Linked DNA regions of Nothobranchius furzeri. The protein of the gene in region 2 purifies or fractionates together with the protein of the main gene of each other region. This does not show direct contact. Links are inferred from orthologs where the notes say so. Each region holds a gene or a part of one and is shown on either strand. Other genes may lie near its edges. The genes, in order: pfdn2 and vbp1.

The links.
Region 1: the proteins of vbp1 (region 2) and pfdn2 fractionate together in Homo sapiens (co-fractionation; 8 studies listed by BioGRID and IntAct, counting the BioPlex papers as one, with this or other methods). This does not show direct contact. The link is inferred for Nothobranchius furzeri from reciprocal best matches to the Homo sapiens genes VBP1 and PFDN2.

What each region holds. Positions count from the first base shown.
Region 1 is NC_091742.1:74,818,959-74,827,370, reverse strand, and holds pfdn2 (prefoldin subunit 2), read right to left. Parts: upstream 5,168-8,412; 5' UTR 4,946-5,167; coding exon 4,865-4,945; intron 4,021-4,864; coding exon 3,932-4,020; intron 3,814-3,931; coding exon 3,690-3,813; intron 3,462-3,689; coding exon 3,270-3,461; 3' UTR 2,987-3,269; downstream 1-2,986. Other genes in the region: nit1 (deaminated glutathione amidase), read left to right, coding at 6,546-6,622, 6,879-7,112. UniProt on the Homo sapiens protein: Binds specifically to cytosolic chaperonin (c-CPN) and transfers target proteins to it. Binds to nascent polypeptide chain and promotes folding in an environment in which there are many competing pathways for nonnative proteins.
Region 2 is NC_091742.1:80,074,768-80,082,685, forward strand, and holds part of vbp1 (prefoldin subunit 3), read right to left. Parts: intron 6,509-7,918; coding exon 6,384-6,508; intron 6,244-6,383; coding exon 6,177-6,243; intron 3,197-6,176; coding exon 3,098-3,196; intron 2,476-3,097; coding exon 2,337-2,475; intron 1-2,336. UniProt on the Homo sapiens protein: Binds specifically to cytosolic chaperonin (c-CPN) and transfers target proteins to it. Binds to nascent polypeptide chain and promotes folding in an environment in which there are many competing pathways for nonnative proteins.

The DNA.
Region 1 (8,412 bases), about 5.3 Mb from region 2:
ACTGGAGCGTGAGATCGATAGGCGGATTGGTGCTGCATCTGCAGTGATGTGGGAGTTGTACCGGTCTGCCGTGATGAAGAGAGAGCTGAGTCAGAAGGCGAAGCTCTTGATTTACCGGTTGATCTGCGTTCCTTCCCTTACCTATGGTCATGAGCTTTGGGTAGTGACCAAAAGAACGAGATCGCGGATACAAGCGGCCGAAATGAGTTTTCTCCGAAGAGTGGCTGGGCTCTCCCTTAGAGATAGGTTGAGAAATTGGCTCTATCGGGAGGGGCTCAGAGTAGACCTGCTGCTCCTCCACATCGAGAGGAGCCAGTTGAGGTGGCTCGGGCATCTGGTCAGAATGCCTCCTGGACGCCTCCCTGGTGAGGTTTTCCGGGCACGTCCAACTGGGAGGAGGCCTAAAGGTAGACCCAGGACATGGTGGAGGGACTATGTCTCTGACCTGGCCAGGGAACGCATTGGGATTCCCCCGGAGGAGCTGGCCCAAGTGGCTGGGGAGAGGGAAGTCTGGGCCTCTCGCCTTAGGCTACTGCCCCTGCGACCCGACTCCGTATAAGCGGATGAAAATGGATGGATGGATTAAATTTGAGCAACAATCATAGACCATGTTGTTGCCCATGGGCTGACAATGAGGGAAGCAGGACTTACGAAAGCAACCCAATTTGAGCCTCAGGAGGGAAAATATTGCATGTGATGTTGATGATGTGCTGTGGCCTGACCCAGCCCACAGACAAGAAGAGGTCCATTGATAACATGTTTAGTCATTCTATGTTTTTCATTTTATGTATTTTTTTTCACTGTCATTGTACACTGTAGCACAATGGACTGCAGGCTGTTTATGGTACAATAAACACATTGTATGGCCCTGAACATTGTGCTTTCTGTTTTTTGGTTTACTGTTTACTGACTGCTTGTTGGTATATGTAATTTTGAGTAATTTGTTTGCGATTCGAGAGTAGTGTTTGATTTTGAGCACAGCTAAAACCGTTTTGAGGCGAAAGTTTGATTTTGCAAGAGGAATGAGAGGTTGTGTAAATCGTGCTTGAAGCTGAGGTTTTGTGTTTGATGTTTTGAGAAAAGGGAGCAAGGTTTCAGGAATTGTGCTTTAGCAATTGAGAAAAACTGTAAATGTGATCATGTTTGCCAATTTCACAAATTTGATACAGTAATTAAAAGAAATACTTCAGTTTGACCAAATAATTAAAACAGCCAGCAATTTTCGTGAAGTACGGAGGAACCATAAACAATTGCAACTCAACCGGAACAAGTGAGGGAACAAGGTTTTATCTTGTCAATACTGGTAATGGTCACTTATCTGTTTCTCACCTCTCAATTACCAATCTGCAACGTTTAGTCAAAACGAAAACACACATAAAAACTCAAAACACCTACCTGAAGACTTACTCCGGCAAGGAGAGAGGGACGCTTGCCTGCACAAGCACACTAGCTGTCAAGCCAGACTAAATAAATATATTATTTAAATTTTGCAAAGCAATTATTTGGTCTAGCTCACAAGGCTACGAGCACGCCATAATCAAATGTGCATGGACAAATCTGAGGTCAGGTTGAAGGGATGAGCGAAATCTCTCAGTTTCAATGTTCCATTTCCGTGCAGGGTTTAACCAATCAAATGTTCATATTTGTTCCAACTTTTGAGAACCAGACTTTTGGGTGCAAGCATTGGACCAATCAGTTTTTGGGCGCCAGTCAAAAAGCTGGATAGTCTCCCTCCGAGTCTCAACCATGCTTACACAGCTTAGGTTCTGTAACTACACATAAGTACCTTTTAGACTTGTTTTAATATTAAAATATAGTTTTTGAAATAGGTTTTCAAAGCTGTACAGCGCTGTTAGTCGTTTTATGGAGACCTTAGTTTTTTGGGCTGTCATGTGATGAAATCTAAAGTCGTTTAGCTAGCTTGCTATGATTGCTGCTTTCCGCTAGCCTAGTGAACCCAAATTCTTGCCTTGCAATAATATATTTATTAATTCTGGCTAGCCAGGGTAGCTTTCCGCTATTACCACAATATAGGCCTACGCATGTACTTTGGCAACTTTTTTTATGAACATAAATCATCTTGATTGTCCTAACAACATCGTTTGAGTGTTTATCCAGTTATTGATTCGTTACTGATTCACTTTATCTTTGCAGTATTGGAAAATCCAGCCAACTGGGTTTGCTAATTAACCTTTGGCTACAGAATCTGTTTTTTTATTATTTTTTTGTGATATTGTTATAATGTGCTGTGGTCATGTGTAACATTTAATATGGTCCGTTTATATGTTACTCTACAAGATAACAAAAAATTAACTAAACGAAAAGTAAGAAAATTTTAATGTCTTTCATTTAAATAAACCCATGTTTGGGCTTCTCCTGTTCGTTTTTTAGACATTTTAACAAATTTCAATATGCCTTTGTTTTGAAAAAACAGTTAAAATGGTGATAAAAATTTTTGTTGATCACTTTTGGATTCAAATTTTTTTTTCTAGAATGGTTCGTTTGAAATAAGTCTGAAAACACGTTTCAGAGACTGGCTTTTACTTTGAAAGCGTTCATAAGCACTATTTCCGTAAAGCTTTGGAAGTGTGTGCAGTGTAAAAACCGAGTGAGAGCTCACTGTACTGTCGAGTTGAGGCAGGCTCTGCCGCAATGACATAATCTGGTGAGCATGAGAAACCTCTTCCTTTTCTCCATTTTTCCTTTTGTGTACTGGCTCCTGTTCATGAGTCACGTTTAATTATTTGTTGTTTTTCAGTCCTTTACATCCTTTTCGCAAAAATGTACATCATTTTTAAAGCTTTGTGCGTTTTCAAAGCTGACATACCAATAAATTTCGATTGTGTATGCTTAATGACAATGCAAAAGGATCTAATTCTGACATTAACTTTTTTTTAATGTCTTTAAAAATTTCATCCCAGTGCAACAGGATTTATATGCTAGATGAGAAAGATAAATGTTTTTACTTATGTCAGCAACTTCAAAATCCTTTTTATGGCATTTTAATTTATTTGCTGAATGTATGACAGCATTTTAAAAAACATCTGCAAGGCAAATGACCTTAATGAGGACATAAACAACTGAACAGAGAAGCAGATGACCATGATTATTACAACTTCCAGGAAATTACAGTTAAACAAGAAAACTAAAAGGAACATTATGAAAAGTTCAGTTTTCCACCTAAATTCCTTGACTTGAGCTAGTTTTCATTTCTTCTTCAGTGCTGCAGAAATAACAGGGCACTGCTGTCCCTGTCCATCCTCAAAGCATTATGAGACCAGAACTCCTGCTCCACTTTTGGATCCTCCTCCTTCATTGTCTTGCGAGTTTGCTGCCGACTGGCCCTGCGCCTCTCCTTCACCCTCTCCAACCAGCCGGATATTGTAACGTTCTCTGTACTCTGTGAGCTCCTGTCCTTTTGCCTGCATCTGTGTGTTGATGGTCTCGATTATTTTGGAAATCTATTAGAACAGAGGAAGATGGATGAGAAATCAGACAAACGAAACATCCTGCAGTTGACACCTAAACGTTTATTTTTGACTTCAAAACCTATAAACAAAACTCTTTCTTGTGAAATTATGTAGATTAACTCGATGTACACTTATTGTTATTTTGGTGTTAAATAAGTGATTTAAAATGTCTCAGTTTATTCTCCTGATCATTCCTGTGACCGAAATAAATAACATTACCTTTTCTTTGTTGTTTTCTAAGGCTGGTAGAACTTCTTTTACTGTCCTTTCCACCAACACTCCTCCAACCAGACGAAAGCATTTCCTGGAAGGATCCACTTCCTTTAGGGTCTCAATTACTAAACTAAATATGAAAAGAAATAGCAAAGGTATTAAACGGTCTGTCTTTTGGATTGTTTCCCCTACAAAATCTTGTGAAACATTTGTGTCTAGAACATAAATGTAGATGATGCTCCACCAACCTGTGCTCGTTGACATCCATCTCCAGCTCAGCAGCTTTCGAAGCCATACTACGCTGCTCCTGACGCATCCTCTGAAATGTTGCTACCACCTGAAAACAAATGGAATTTGATCATTTTTTTATTAAGTATAATAAATAAATAAAAAACAGATGCTGCTACTCCTTAGTTGTCTACTGAAACCAAACTCTTAAAGTCATAACTGGTAATTAGCATATTACAATTTTGTTTAAAAGATTATTAAATAAATGTACATAATGCAGCAACTCATTAATGGTAAAGGTTTAATTTTATTATCAGATTTAATCTACAACTTTTTAGAAGTAGTGGACATAAACTTTGTTTATTTGATGGTTTTAATCACCATTTACGCAGAGTCATAGACTTTATATGTAAGAAAATAACAAAAAGGTTATGATACAATATGGCAATATTTACATTTTATTATTATTTTTGTAAAACCTGATCAATAAAGGTTTTGACACATATTTGAAGGTATTGCTCGACTCTAATGTTGCCATTATTGTTGTTAAAGGATATATTACGGACTACAGTGCACTGTATTACAGACATTACAGCAGTGATTTGTTTAATATGGTCTGAGTAATAATTTATTAGGGTTAGGTGGACAAAAATAGCTTTATGCTTAGTCACACCAAACCAAACACATTATTTCAAAACCGTAAATACATAGACTAACGTAAAAATTGTTAGAAGTAAGAGTTTGATGTAAACTCTCATAATGTCCTTATTAGACTCCTAACGGTTCCCGATGTCCAAATTTGGGTTTTGAGCCAGATGATCGCGACAGGAATGCTAATGTTAGCTTAGACTAGCTAGGGGCTATACTTTTAGTTCTGCTTTACCAAACTGAGCCAAACAACAACAGAAATAATTGTAACGACAAATGAAACCTTTTTATATAATTGAGAGTACCTGTTCAGCTGAAAGTCCGGACTGTTTTCCGCCGGCGCTGCTGCTGGACTTGCTACCCGTGCTGCTACCGTTCGCTGCCATCTTGGAAGGGTGTTGCCAATTAGGACCCTGCAGCTATCTAATGAGATTGCCTGAGTGCAAATGCGGCTTGTAAAACATCTAAATTACTTTGCAACCATCTTTTACTTTTTCATGTAAAAACTCAGAAGCAGAACCGCAAACAAAATACAACTTAATTCAACATAAAATAAAATGGCATTTGAAGGAATAATTTCTATTAACTTCCATCAACTTTGTATTGTTTTTGTTTTTTCGTGCATACGCTTTTTTATTTTATGTTTATGTTTATTTATTTGGCAGAGGCTTTTATCCAAAGTGACTTGCAATTTATAACGTATGGGGCATGTTTTGATCTGTGGGGGAAACAGGAGTACCCGGAGGAAACCCACGCATGAATGGGGAGAACACGCAACACGCAGAAAGGCCGCAGCCGAGTTTCGAACCTGCAACCTTCGTGCTGCGAGGCAACAGTGCTAACAACTGCGCCACCATGCAGCCCATTTTCCGAATCTAGCTTATTTATTAAAGCAGTTTCTGCATCGTGGAGTTTTAGACGTGTTTTTTCTCTTTCAAATATTCTTTATTTCAGCCAAAGGACATATTAATCATTAAATTAATTAATTTGCACACCGCCAAGACAAGACAAGACAGCTTTATTTGTATAGCACATTTCCTATACAAAGGTAACTTAATGTGCTTTACAGCAGCCTATAGGTAACATCAAAAGCAAAACAAAAATGAACAAAAATAACAAAAGTTTTCATGTTAGACAATAATCAGAAGCACACCGTACATAAATTAAAATCAATAATTAAAAACAAATGAAGAAATACATGTAAATTTTTAATACAAAAATACACTTAAATGCATTTATCGACATTTTTTTATTTTTATAATTCAAACGCTGTAAAGGACTGCTGAAAGCGGATTAACCTCATACAGACCTCTAGATTTTTATTTGCTCTGGGGTTTTCAGAAGATTGAACACATTAAATGTGTTGTTTGAATTTGTTTTCAAAAGCAACAATGCATGGTTTAGTGCACCTGAACTTAAATTTATTAATGTAAAACTTTGCCATAATAATCAGAATGATTACGAAAAGAGTTGTAATTGAGAAACACACAATATTATTGTCAATATGTCTTCAAAGTTGACTGAAATGCGACGTATACGTGCTGTTTATATCTTATTAGTGAACTAGACCAAACGTTTGCTTTGCAAAATAATATATTTATTCAGTCTGGTTTAAGGGTATTTTTGATAGTTATTTATAAACCTGTGTTATATTTGAATGATTATGATGCATTTATAATACTTTAAAAACAATTTTAGGAGTATAAAAACATTGCCAACTCAAAAACTATTCCACATCCTAAAACAATGGACTTTTCATTACATTTAAAGTTTTATTTTATTTTATTTATTTATTTTTGTTTTTTTGTTATTACCACATATTGTTATAAAAAGTCTCCAGTAGGTGGCAGTAGGGTGCTATATGTACATTTCTGGTCATTTTTTGCATCGCAGAGAAGAAGGGGCTGCTCGCGTTATGTAATTGTCGATGGTTAACCAAACGTTATAATAACACCAGCTGGGTTTAAACTCCTCAGGTGACGCTGTATGGGACCAATGTCCAGGTGCATTTTGAGATCGTCTGTGAAGTACTTGGCTTCTCTGCCGACGTTGCTGCAAAACAGGTGCGTTTGTTTATAAGTACTGAAACCAAACAACGCACTGCTAGATTTTATAAGAATTTTGTCACGTGCATTTGTTCTGCAAACAACAAAAATATGGAGCATAAATTCTCACATATTCACGATTTGTGTCACCTGGAGGAGTAGTAAATGTGTACAAAATGCAACATAACAGAGACAGGAATCAGGGAGCAACCATCCCTGACTTGAAATGCTTCATCTTGTGATCACTGGATTTGTAAAAGTTTGTTTTCCACAGGATGTCCAGCTCACGTGCCCCGTTGGCCGCAGTGTGTCAAGTGACATCTACCCCTGACAAGGAAGCCAACTTCTCTGTCTGTGAGCAGCTGGTGCAGGAAGCTAAAGAGAGAGGCGCCTGCATGGTCTTCCTGCCTGAGGGGTTTGATTACATCGGGTCCAGCAGAGAAGAGACACTGTCCCTTTCAGAGACACTGGGAGGAGACACGATCTCAAAATATGCTCAACTTGCCAGGTTTATTAACACATTTCGAGTTTTATTCTAATGAAACTTTGTGAAATGTTAAAGAAGTTAAAAATGAAATTCCATTTTTGGTTCCTATTAAAACACAGGAAAGGTTTTTCTTTACCTTGCTGCTGACGCAAACGAAACGTATGTCAGCAGCAAGGTAAGGAAAACCCTTTCCTGTGTTTTAAAAATAACCAAAAATGGAATTAGAAACTAAACACAGTAAGAACGCACCAAAGAAGTTAAAAATCAGTATACTTGTTTGCTTCATACTGTCTCCTCCTTGAACCGTCTCCTTATCGTGGTAGAGGAGTTTGAGTGCCCTAATGATCCTAGGAGCTATGTTGTCTGGGGCACTTTGTGCCCCTGGTAGGGTCTCCCATGACAAATTGGTCTTAGGTGAAGGGTGAGACAAAGAACGGTTCACAGGATCTTTCATGGAGGTAAAGTCAAACAGTCGGAGTACCCGGCCCGGAGGGTTACCGGGGTCCCACTCTGGAGCCAGGCCTGGGGTTGGGGCCCGTGAGCGAGCGCCTGGTGACCGGGCTTTCACCCATGGTGCCCGGCCGGCCCCAGCCCAAACCAGATACATGGGCTCATCCAACTGTGGACCCACCACCCGCAGGAGGAACATGAAGGGTCCGGTGCAATCTGGATCGGGTGGCAGACCAAGGCGGGAGCCTTGGCGGTCCGATCCCCGGACAAGAAAACTGGTTTTTGGGACATGGAACGTCACCTCGCTGGCGGGGAAGGAGCAGGAGCTTGTGGCAGAGGTTGAGCGGTACCGGCTAGATATAGTTGGACTCACCTCGACACATTGCATTGGCTCTGGAACCCAAGTCCTTGTTGTCCTTGTTGTACACTCTCCTTTGCTGGAGTTGCTCCGGGTGAGAGGCGGAGGGCTGGGGTTGGCTTTTTGTTAGCCCCAAGACTCTCTGCCTGTGTGTTGGGGTTTACCCCGGGGGACGAGAGGGTAGCTTCCCTGCGCCTTCGGGTCGGGGAATGGGTCCTGACTGTTGTTTGTGCTTATGGGCAAAATATTAGTTCAGAGTACCCACCCTTTATGGAGTCCCTGGGACGAGTGCTAGATAGTGCTCCATCAGGGGACTCCATTGTCCTGCTGGGGAACTTCAATGCTCACGTGGGCAATGACAGCTTGACCTGGAGGGGTGTGATTGGGAGAAACGGTCCGCTTGATCTGAACTCGAGTGGTGTTTCGTTATTGGAGTTCTGTGCAAGCCGCAGTTTGGCCATAATGAACACCGTGTTTGAACATAAGGATGCCCATCGGTACACTTGGTAGCAG
Region 2 (7,918 bases):
GGAGCAGCGAGTTAAGAGAAACCAGAAGGTTCACCGTGATATAAAACACAAAAAAAATCAACCTAAAGGGCCATGTCAGCAGGTTTCTGAACCACTGTAGCTTTAAATGTACTTTTGTTGGAACCTCAAAGGGAAGGTAGACACGCCCACCAACTCCAAGGTTTCACCTTTTTTCAAACCTCAGGGGTGCTACATTTGATCTAAAAGCAAAATGTCTGCTTTTATTCCAGACTGCAGTACTAATCTTAATGCAAGTCAGAAGACACACATCAGTAATTAGATGAATGATGTCGGTAAGTAGCAGAGATGCACTAAAAATCAAAACCGGTCGATAAGGATGGGTGATACGTTAAATGTTTTCAAACGGTCCAAAACGACTATGGGTGACGTTTGTGGGCCTGACACACAACAATCCAACAATCGCCATCAGCCTTACCACATTTGCCAAAGCCGACCTCGAGGGGCTGGTTAAGTTAGAGGTAGTCGTTTTCTGGATTTCATCGGCTATTTGCCAATTCATCAACATACTTAGCTGCAATTGGTTTAAACTACACATGTGAGAAGGGGTGTGTGTGTGTGTGTGTGTGTGTGGGGGGGGGGGGGGGGGGGGGGGGGGCACTTCTGACCCACCAGCTAATCACTGAAGATTTTGCCCCAGGAGAGGGGGCAACCATCCACCCAATGAATGATAGAAAGTTTGAAGTTATTATGAAGGTGCCTACGGGGTTTATGGTTAGAAAGGCGCATCTGAAAGAAATTCTGTAGGGTTTCAGAGATCCGTTAGCTTTATTTATTTATTCTTTTGTGGATGAAAGACTTGTTGTGAGCTAATTATTTTATTGGAGTACTTCTACTGGACCGTTGTGGATGTACAAATAACTGTTCAAGATTGCTCTATTCTGTCAGTGAAGAGGCTTTGAACTGTAAGCACCATATTTAGAATTTCTGAGTGGTGTAACAAGCTGTTATTGTGTCTACAGAACTGGTTAAATCTGTAAACACCATTTATCGACCGGAAAAGGGTGGCTTGCCAACTCCGGGTCGGGGGAGAGGTCCTACCTCAAGTGGAGGAATTTAAGTATCTCGGGGTCTTGTTCACGAGTGAGGGTAGGAGGGATCGGGAGATCGACAGGCGGATTGGTTCGGCGTCTGCAGTGATGCGGATGCTGAGCCGATATGTCGTGGTGAAGAGGGAGCTGAGCCACAAAGCCAGGCTCTCGATTTACCGGTCGATCTACGTCCCAATCCTCACCTATGGTCATGAGCTTTGGGTAATGACCGAAAGAACAAGATCGCGGATACAAGCGGCCGAAATGAGTTTCCTCCGTAGGGTGGCCGGGCTCAGCCTTAGAGATAGGGTGAGGAGCTCGGACATTCGGGAGGGACTCGGAGTAGAACCGCTGCTCCTCCGGATCGAAAGGAGCAAGTTGAGGTGGTTTGGGCATCTGGTCAGGATACCTCCTGGACGCCTCCCCGGGGAGGTGTTTCGGGCATGTCCTGCCGGCAGGAGGCCCCCGGGTCGACCCAGGACACGTTGGAGAAGTTACATCTCCAATCTGGTCCGGGAACGTCTTGAGGTCCTGCCGGAGGAGCTGGTGGAGAAGGCCGGGGAGAGGACGGTCTAGAGCTCCCTAGTTGGGATGCTGCCCCCGTGACCCGGATAAGCGGAGGAAGACGACGACGACCATTTATCATTGGAATCACAAGACTCCCAGCTTTCTAATGATGTATTATAATATGTATATGTACATTGAAAGACTGTTGAGAAAAAGACGCTGATTTGACGAGGACGTATGCAATTTGTACTGCACTATTACAAAAACAGCCTGTGTGACCTCATGTGACCTTAGATAAAATGAGTTATCGTTTAAAACTTGCTGAATCTTTTGGTAAACAGGGTAAAAGTGGCTATAATTTCCCAGTCTGAACTAAATAAATGTTGACCTTCGCAACCTCTGGAGCCGTTTAAGTTTCCTGTGGATCTGCTGAGTCACTTCAACTCAAACCAAACAAAGAGTTAATGACTGAAACAACACCCAGCTGGAACAAATGTTACCATCTAGGCTGTTCTAATATGCAATAACAATGATCACATTTCTTCACTTACTTTAATTCCCACCATGTTGTTCATGACTATAAAAACACTGCATGTCCTGTGACTTACTGAACCAGTGTCACCAGTGACCTCCTTCCTAATAAAAGGATAGCTAATGGAATTATTTCTGATCTGAAAAGGTCATTTCTCTTTTGGTCAAAGTCTCCAAATCTTCCCTCTGATCCATGTGGCCATCCATAGACACAGATCAGTGAGAGTGGACCACTCAGTGGAAGGATACTGACTTCAGTGGTGGTGAACTGGTCTCGCAGGAAATCCAGATCTTCCTCGAGGGTCTCCAGGTTACGAGATGCTGTGGACAAGTTCTTCTCCAGGAGGGCCTGGGCTTCGTTGATGTCATACTCCAACATGACGTTAGCCTTTAGGGGAGAAACGTTTTGGTCCTCTTTAATGTTCCATGATATAATGAGTGATCAGGTTTTAATCTAACCCAAAGTCTACAAAACACAACAGATTCGACATCATTATTTAATAAACTATAATAAAGTCAAATGAAGTCCAACGGAAAGTGGAAAATATTGATTCAATGATCATCTTCACCTCTACAAAGGTGTATTGGTCTGGAGCATACAGGTGTGTGTTAACATCAGAGAGAAAAGTGGCCTAAGGGATGGACGAAACCAAAGCAGACATGTTTAGCCATAATGTATAGCACTGTCTGGATAAAACCAACCACAGCACATTAGAACAAGCCGTGGTATCAGCTGTCAGCACGGTGGTGGAAGACTGATGGTTTGGGTTCATTACAGCCATTGAGTGGATCATGAACTTCTCTGTAGACTAAAGTGCTATAGAGTCAGATGTGAGTCCATCTGGGTCATAAACATGAACAACAATCCCGAACAGCTCAATAAGCTGGAATCTGTTGTGTGGTTGTCCCTTTGAGGTTATTTTAATCACTTCAGAAGCTGCAAACACCAGATCACCACTGTAATCGAGTCAAAGACCATAAAACCAGACATCATCCTGAGTGCTACTCACCCCTAACCATAAAGAAACTTTGTCAGTGGGCGGCACCGAGGCCTTACAGTAAACGTTGTCAGCTAGGAGGAAGTGTGTTTCCATTCGCTCCGTAGTTTCCTGTGGGAACAAAAGGTACCACAATAAATTAAAAAAGGAATTCCATTACCTATGTCCTTTAGGTCTAGGGGTAGAATCAGCTACTTCATGATTTTTTTCTTCTCAAACGAGGTTAAATAATATTGAATTCACAAAAGAAAGAAAACAACAAAAGTAAGTAAAAAAAAAATATATATATATACAGTTGTGGTCAGAAGTTTACATACACTTATAAAAAATATAATATAATGGCTCTACTGAGTGACCCGTTATTTCTAAAACTCTGATTTTTCTCTGATAGAGTGATTGGAACAGATACTTCTTTGTCACAAAAAACATTCATGAAGTTTGGTTCTTTAATGTCTTTATTATGGGTTAACAGAGAAAAGTGATCACATTTGCTGGGTCACAAATATACATACAGCAGTGCTAATATTTGGTTACATGTCCCTTAGCCATTTTCACTTCAATTAGGCGCTTTTGGTAGCCATCCACAAGCTTCTGGCAAGCTTCTGGTTGAATCTTTGACCACTCCTCTTGACAGAATTGGTGAAGTTCAGTTAAATTTGATGGCTTTCTGACATGGACTTGTTTCTTCAGCACTGTCCACATGTTTTCAATGGGGTTTAAGTCAGGACTTTGGGAAGGCCATTCTAAAACCCTTATTCTAGCCTGATTTAGCCATTCCTTTACCTCTTTTGATGTGTGTTTGGGGTCATTGTCCTGTTGGAACACCCAACTGCGCCCAAGACCCAACCTTCGTGCTGATGATTTTAGGTTATGTTGAAGAATGTGAAGGTAATCCTCCTTCTTCATTATCCCATTTACTCTCTGTTAAGCACCAGTTCCATTGGCAGCAAAACAGCCCCATAGCATAATATTCCCACCACCATGCTTGACTGTAGGCATGGTGTTCTTGGGGTTAAAGGCCTCACCTTTTCTCCTCCAAACATATTGCTGGGCATTGTGGCCAAAAAGCTCGATTTTTGTTTCATCTGACCACAGAACTTTCCTCCAGAAGGTCTTATCTTTGTCCATGTGATCAGCAGCAAACTTCAGCCGAGCCTTAAGGTGCCACTTTTGGAGCAAGGGCTTCCTTCTTGCACGGCAGCCTCTCAGTCCATGGAGATGCAAAACACGTTTGACTGTGGCCAATGACACCTGTGTTCCAGCAGCTTCTAATTCTTGGCAGATCTGCTTTTTGGTGATTCTTGGTTCACTCTTTACCCTCCTGACCAATTTTCTCTCAGCAGCAGGTGATAGCTTGTGTTTTCTTCCTGATCTTGGCAGTGATGAAACAGTGCCATGCACCTTATACTTACAAACAATTGTTTGCACTGTTGCTCTTGGGACCTGCAGCTGCTTTGAAATGGCCCCAAGTGACTTTCCTGACTTGTTCAAGTCAATAATTCACTTTTTCAGATCCATGCTGAGCTCCTTTGACTTTCCCATTGTAGCGTTTGTGGGCGTTTGTATCCAATGAGCCCTATTTACCTGGCCTAAGAGAAGTCACCAGCTGTAGTCACTCATAATCACTCACAAGAAGTTAAGAGGCCATGCTATGAAGCTCAGTTCACTGACACGTTTCTAAGTCAACAAAATTGCTAGTTCATGTTGCTGTATGTATATTTGTGACCCAGCAAATGTGATCACTTTTCTCTGTTAACCCATAATAAAGACATTAAAGAACCAAACTTCATGAATGTTTTTTGTGACAAAGAAGTATCTGTTCCAATCACTCTATCAGAGAAAAATCAGAGTTTTAGAAATAACGGGACACTCAGTAGAGCCATTATATTATATTTTTTACAAGTGTATGTAAACTTCTGACCACAACTGTATATATTAAATGGCCTCGCCATATATGACTTTCCAGCTTATATCAAAGAACACAGACTAAAATAGTTCAAAAAGGCAAAGAAAGAAGCATACCGTAAATCCTCTAATATTGGCCTGTATTCAATTAACAAGCTCCTGCGTGTCGGGAGGCAACGCGCTGTGCCAGAGCGTCGGTACTGACACCCGCCGTAAAACGGACATTTAACCAAATTGTGACGTTTACCCTCTTGCAATTTAACCTTCCCCTCACCCCATCCTAACCTTAACCAGCTTGCGCATGCAAAGCTCTGATTGTTGACGCACTCCAGACATCTGCGTCCTGAGCACGGCTACAGTAACATTATCAAATCAAGTGTCGCCACCTCAAAAACTAATTTAACACGCAATCGTTCATGTCGGCTCATTTCCTTTTATGTTTTCTGTCTTTTATTCTTTTATTTGTGCCTGATGCTTTTAGCTGCTGTGGATCGGGGTGCATCACCTGTTTTGTCCTCTGTGACGCACCGATCACTGATGCGGCCGGCAAGCAGCGAGCACTCCGCTGTTTTTGTGGTCGGTAGATCTTTTAGAACTGCAGCTCAAAGGTAACTCATAAGGTGAATATATATGAACCCAGGTAGCAGTTTCTCTTTAGGATTGAGAGGAGATGCAGGAAGATAATAAACAGACAGGACAGAAAAATAGTCAAATAAAAACAAGTTAGTTTTTGTACCTGGTGGTTGCAACAAACAGACACCATTGAAGGTAATCAGAAGTGAGGAACAGAAAATAATTATTTTAATGTTTAGAGCAGCAGGAACTCCGAGAGGCTGCAGGCGCATCAGTGAGTTTGCACCGCTGCGCAGGGGGAGAGGGCTGAAGCAGAAACTACCGTTGTTAAAAGAAATGTGTTTAACTTTGAAAATGTGGGCGCAATTCTAATTGTCAAAAACTCCAGCGAACCATTAGTTCATTTTGCTCAAATAGAAATTGAGGCCTGCCTCTAATTCTGGTCCTCCTTCCAATAAAGGCCTGGAGCTTGATGAGCTTGAGTCAAATACAGACCCGGGCCTGTATTAGAGGATTTACGGTAGCTTATTTCACCCATCCCTATGTTGTCATTCTAGAGGAACTGGAGAAGACTCACTTCCAGTATGGAGCTGGTTTACAGAACTTCACCCACCTTTTTCTTCTGCATGTGTCGTAGGATTTCTAGCGTCTGTGTGATCTGTGGAATCTGGTTTTTCAACCTATTAAATAAGAATGATTTTAGTTAAATAAATAAGCATCCAGCTTTCCTACTTTACAGATCTACCAGGTGCACACATATCAATTCATGCACGTATTAATGTAACCCGAATAACTCGTAGTGTTTGTATTTCTGTTTTACCGGAGTTTCTTCTGGGACAGGTTGAGCTCCATGTACTTATATTTCTGGTACTGCTCATCCAGCTTCCTCAGAGCAGAGTCTGCCGTCTCGTTGCCAGGCAGCTTCATAAAAGAGTCGACATCCTCCTGGAAAACAGCAAACAGGGATTAAAAAACAGAAAGGCCTATATAACTACTCCACAAATGAGACTTTCAATACCACAAAGTCAAATGTCTAAAGTCTCAGTGAGATGTGTTTGCAGCGCCGTCTGGTGGACAAAATATGAAATTACACTTTTCTGAATTGGCCTTTGTGTTTTTAACATGGAAGCACAAATAAGGTCTTACCATTTCCTAAAATACTTTTCCGTTTGTTATACCTATAAGTTCAAAGTCACAATAAATGAAACCATAAAACAGGTTAGTGAGAATTAAAACCCTAAATTAGTGTCAGATTAAACAAATAAATGTAACAAACCAAAAAAATTACAAACATTTTTATAAATACAAATATAATATAATCTTTTGTTTAAAATAAATATGATCTTTTAGCTTTTCTGTTAAAAATGAGAAAAAATGTGTGATTTAACAGTTAAGTACTTTTCACAGAAAGTTTTGATTGAACAGTTTAAATTTGATTTGACAGCATCAGAAGTAAATCGCCTGGGCACTGGTAAAAAAAAAAGTTACTGTATTCTATAAAATGGTTTGATGCACAGATAATAAAAGAAAAAATCTATTTATCTCATTACATTAATGCATTTGTTGTGTTAAAGACAAAGACAAAAGAAAATGAGAATTTCTATACTCATGTAAGGTGCTGTAATCTGAGAATGTGTCCAGGTGTAAACCTTCCTCCTGCCATGAAGAAAAATCACTGAAGTAATTAATAAATTACCCAAATTGTTAATATGATGCCGTTTATCCACTCATCGTAACCAAAGAACATCACCTACAAATCTGGTAGCATTACAAGTATCTATAATTTGATTTTTAACCCTTTTAGTCTGTCATTGGTATTTTTCATTCATTTACACATTAAACATAATGGTATTCTGAACTTTTGATCTAATTGTGACATTATTGTTCACTCCAATGCGTGTTATTTTCCCTTCATATTAGGGCTGAAAATGAACTCAATAATCAAGCCTCAATATATTGAGGTTAAGAAATGTACAATTATTATTGAAGTGCAGTTTGGTTCTTGACACTGGATAGGCCATTGTATTTGTTGTTTTGGAGACGGGGTCTACGTTATTGTTTTTGGTGCAATATTTTCTAAAAGAGTGAAAGCACTTTTATATTTATTTATTTTTTGTTTGTTTTATTTATTTAGAAGTTCAGGGTCTGGACATTCCCATGTTAAATAAAGGTTTAATTGTTGCATTTTAATGGGTGTCCTTGCATTATTATGATATATTAACATTACATAAGTGGTTATTTTGGTCTTGATAATGTCAACAATAATATCATTTATCGTCAATAATTTGTTGGACAATATATCGTCCAACAAATTCTGTTATCGTCCCAGGCCTACTTTCTATCTTTATTTTTCTG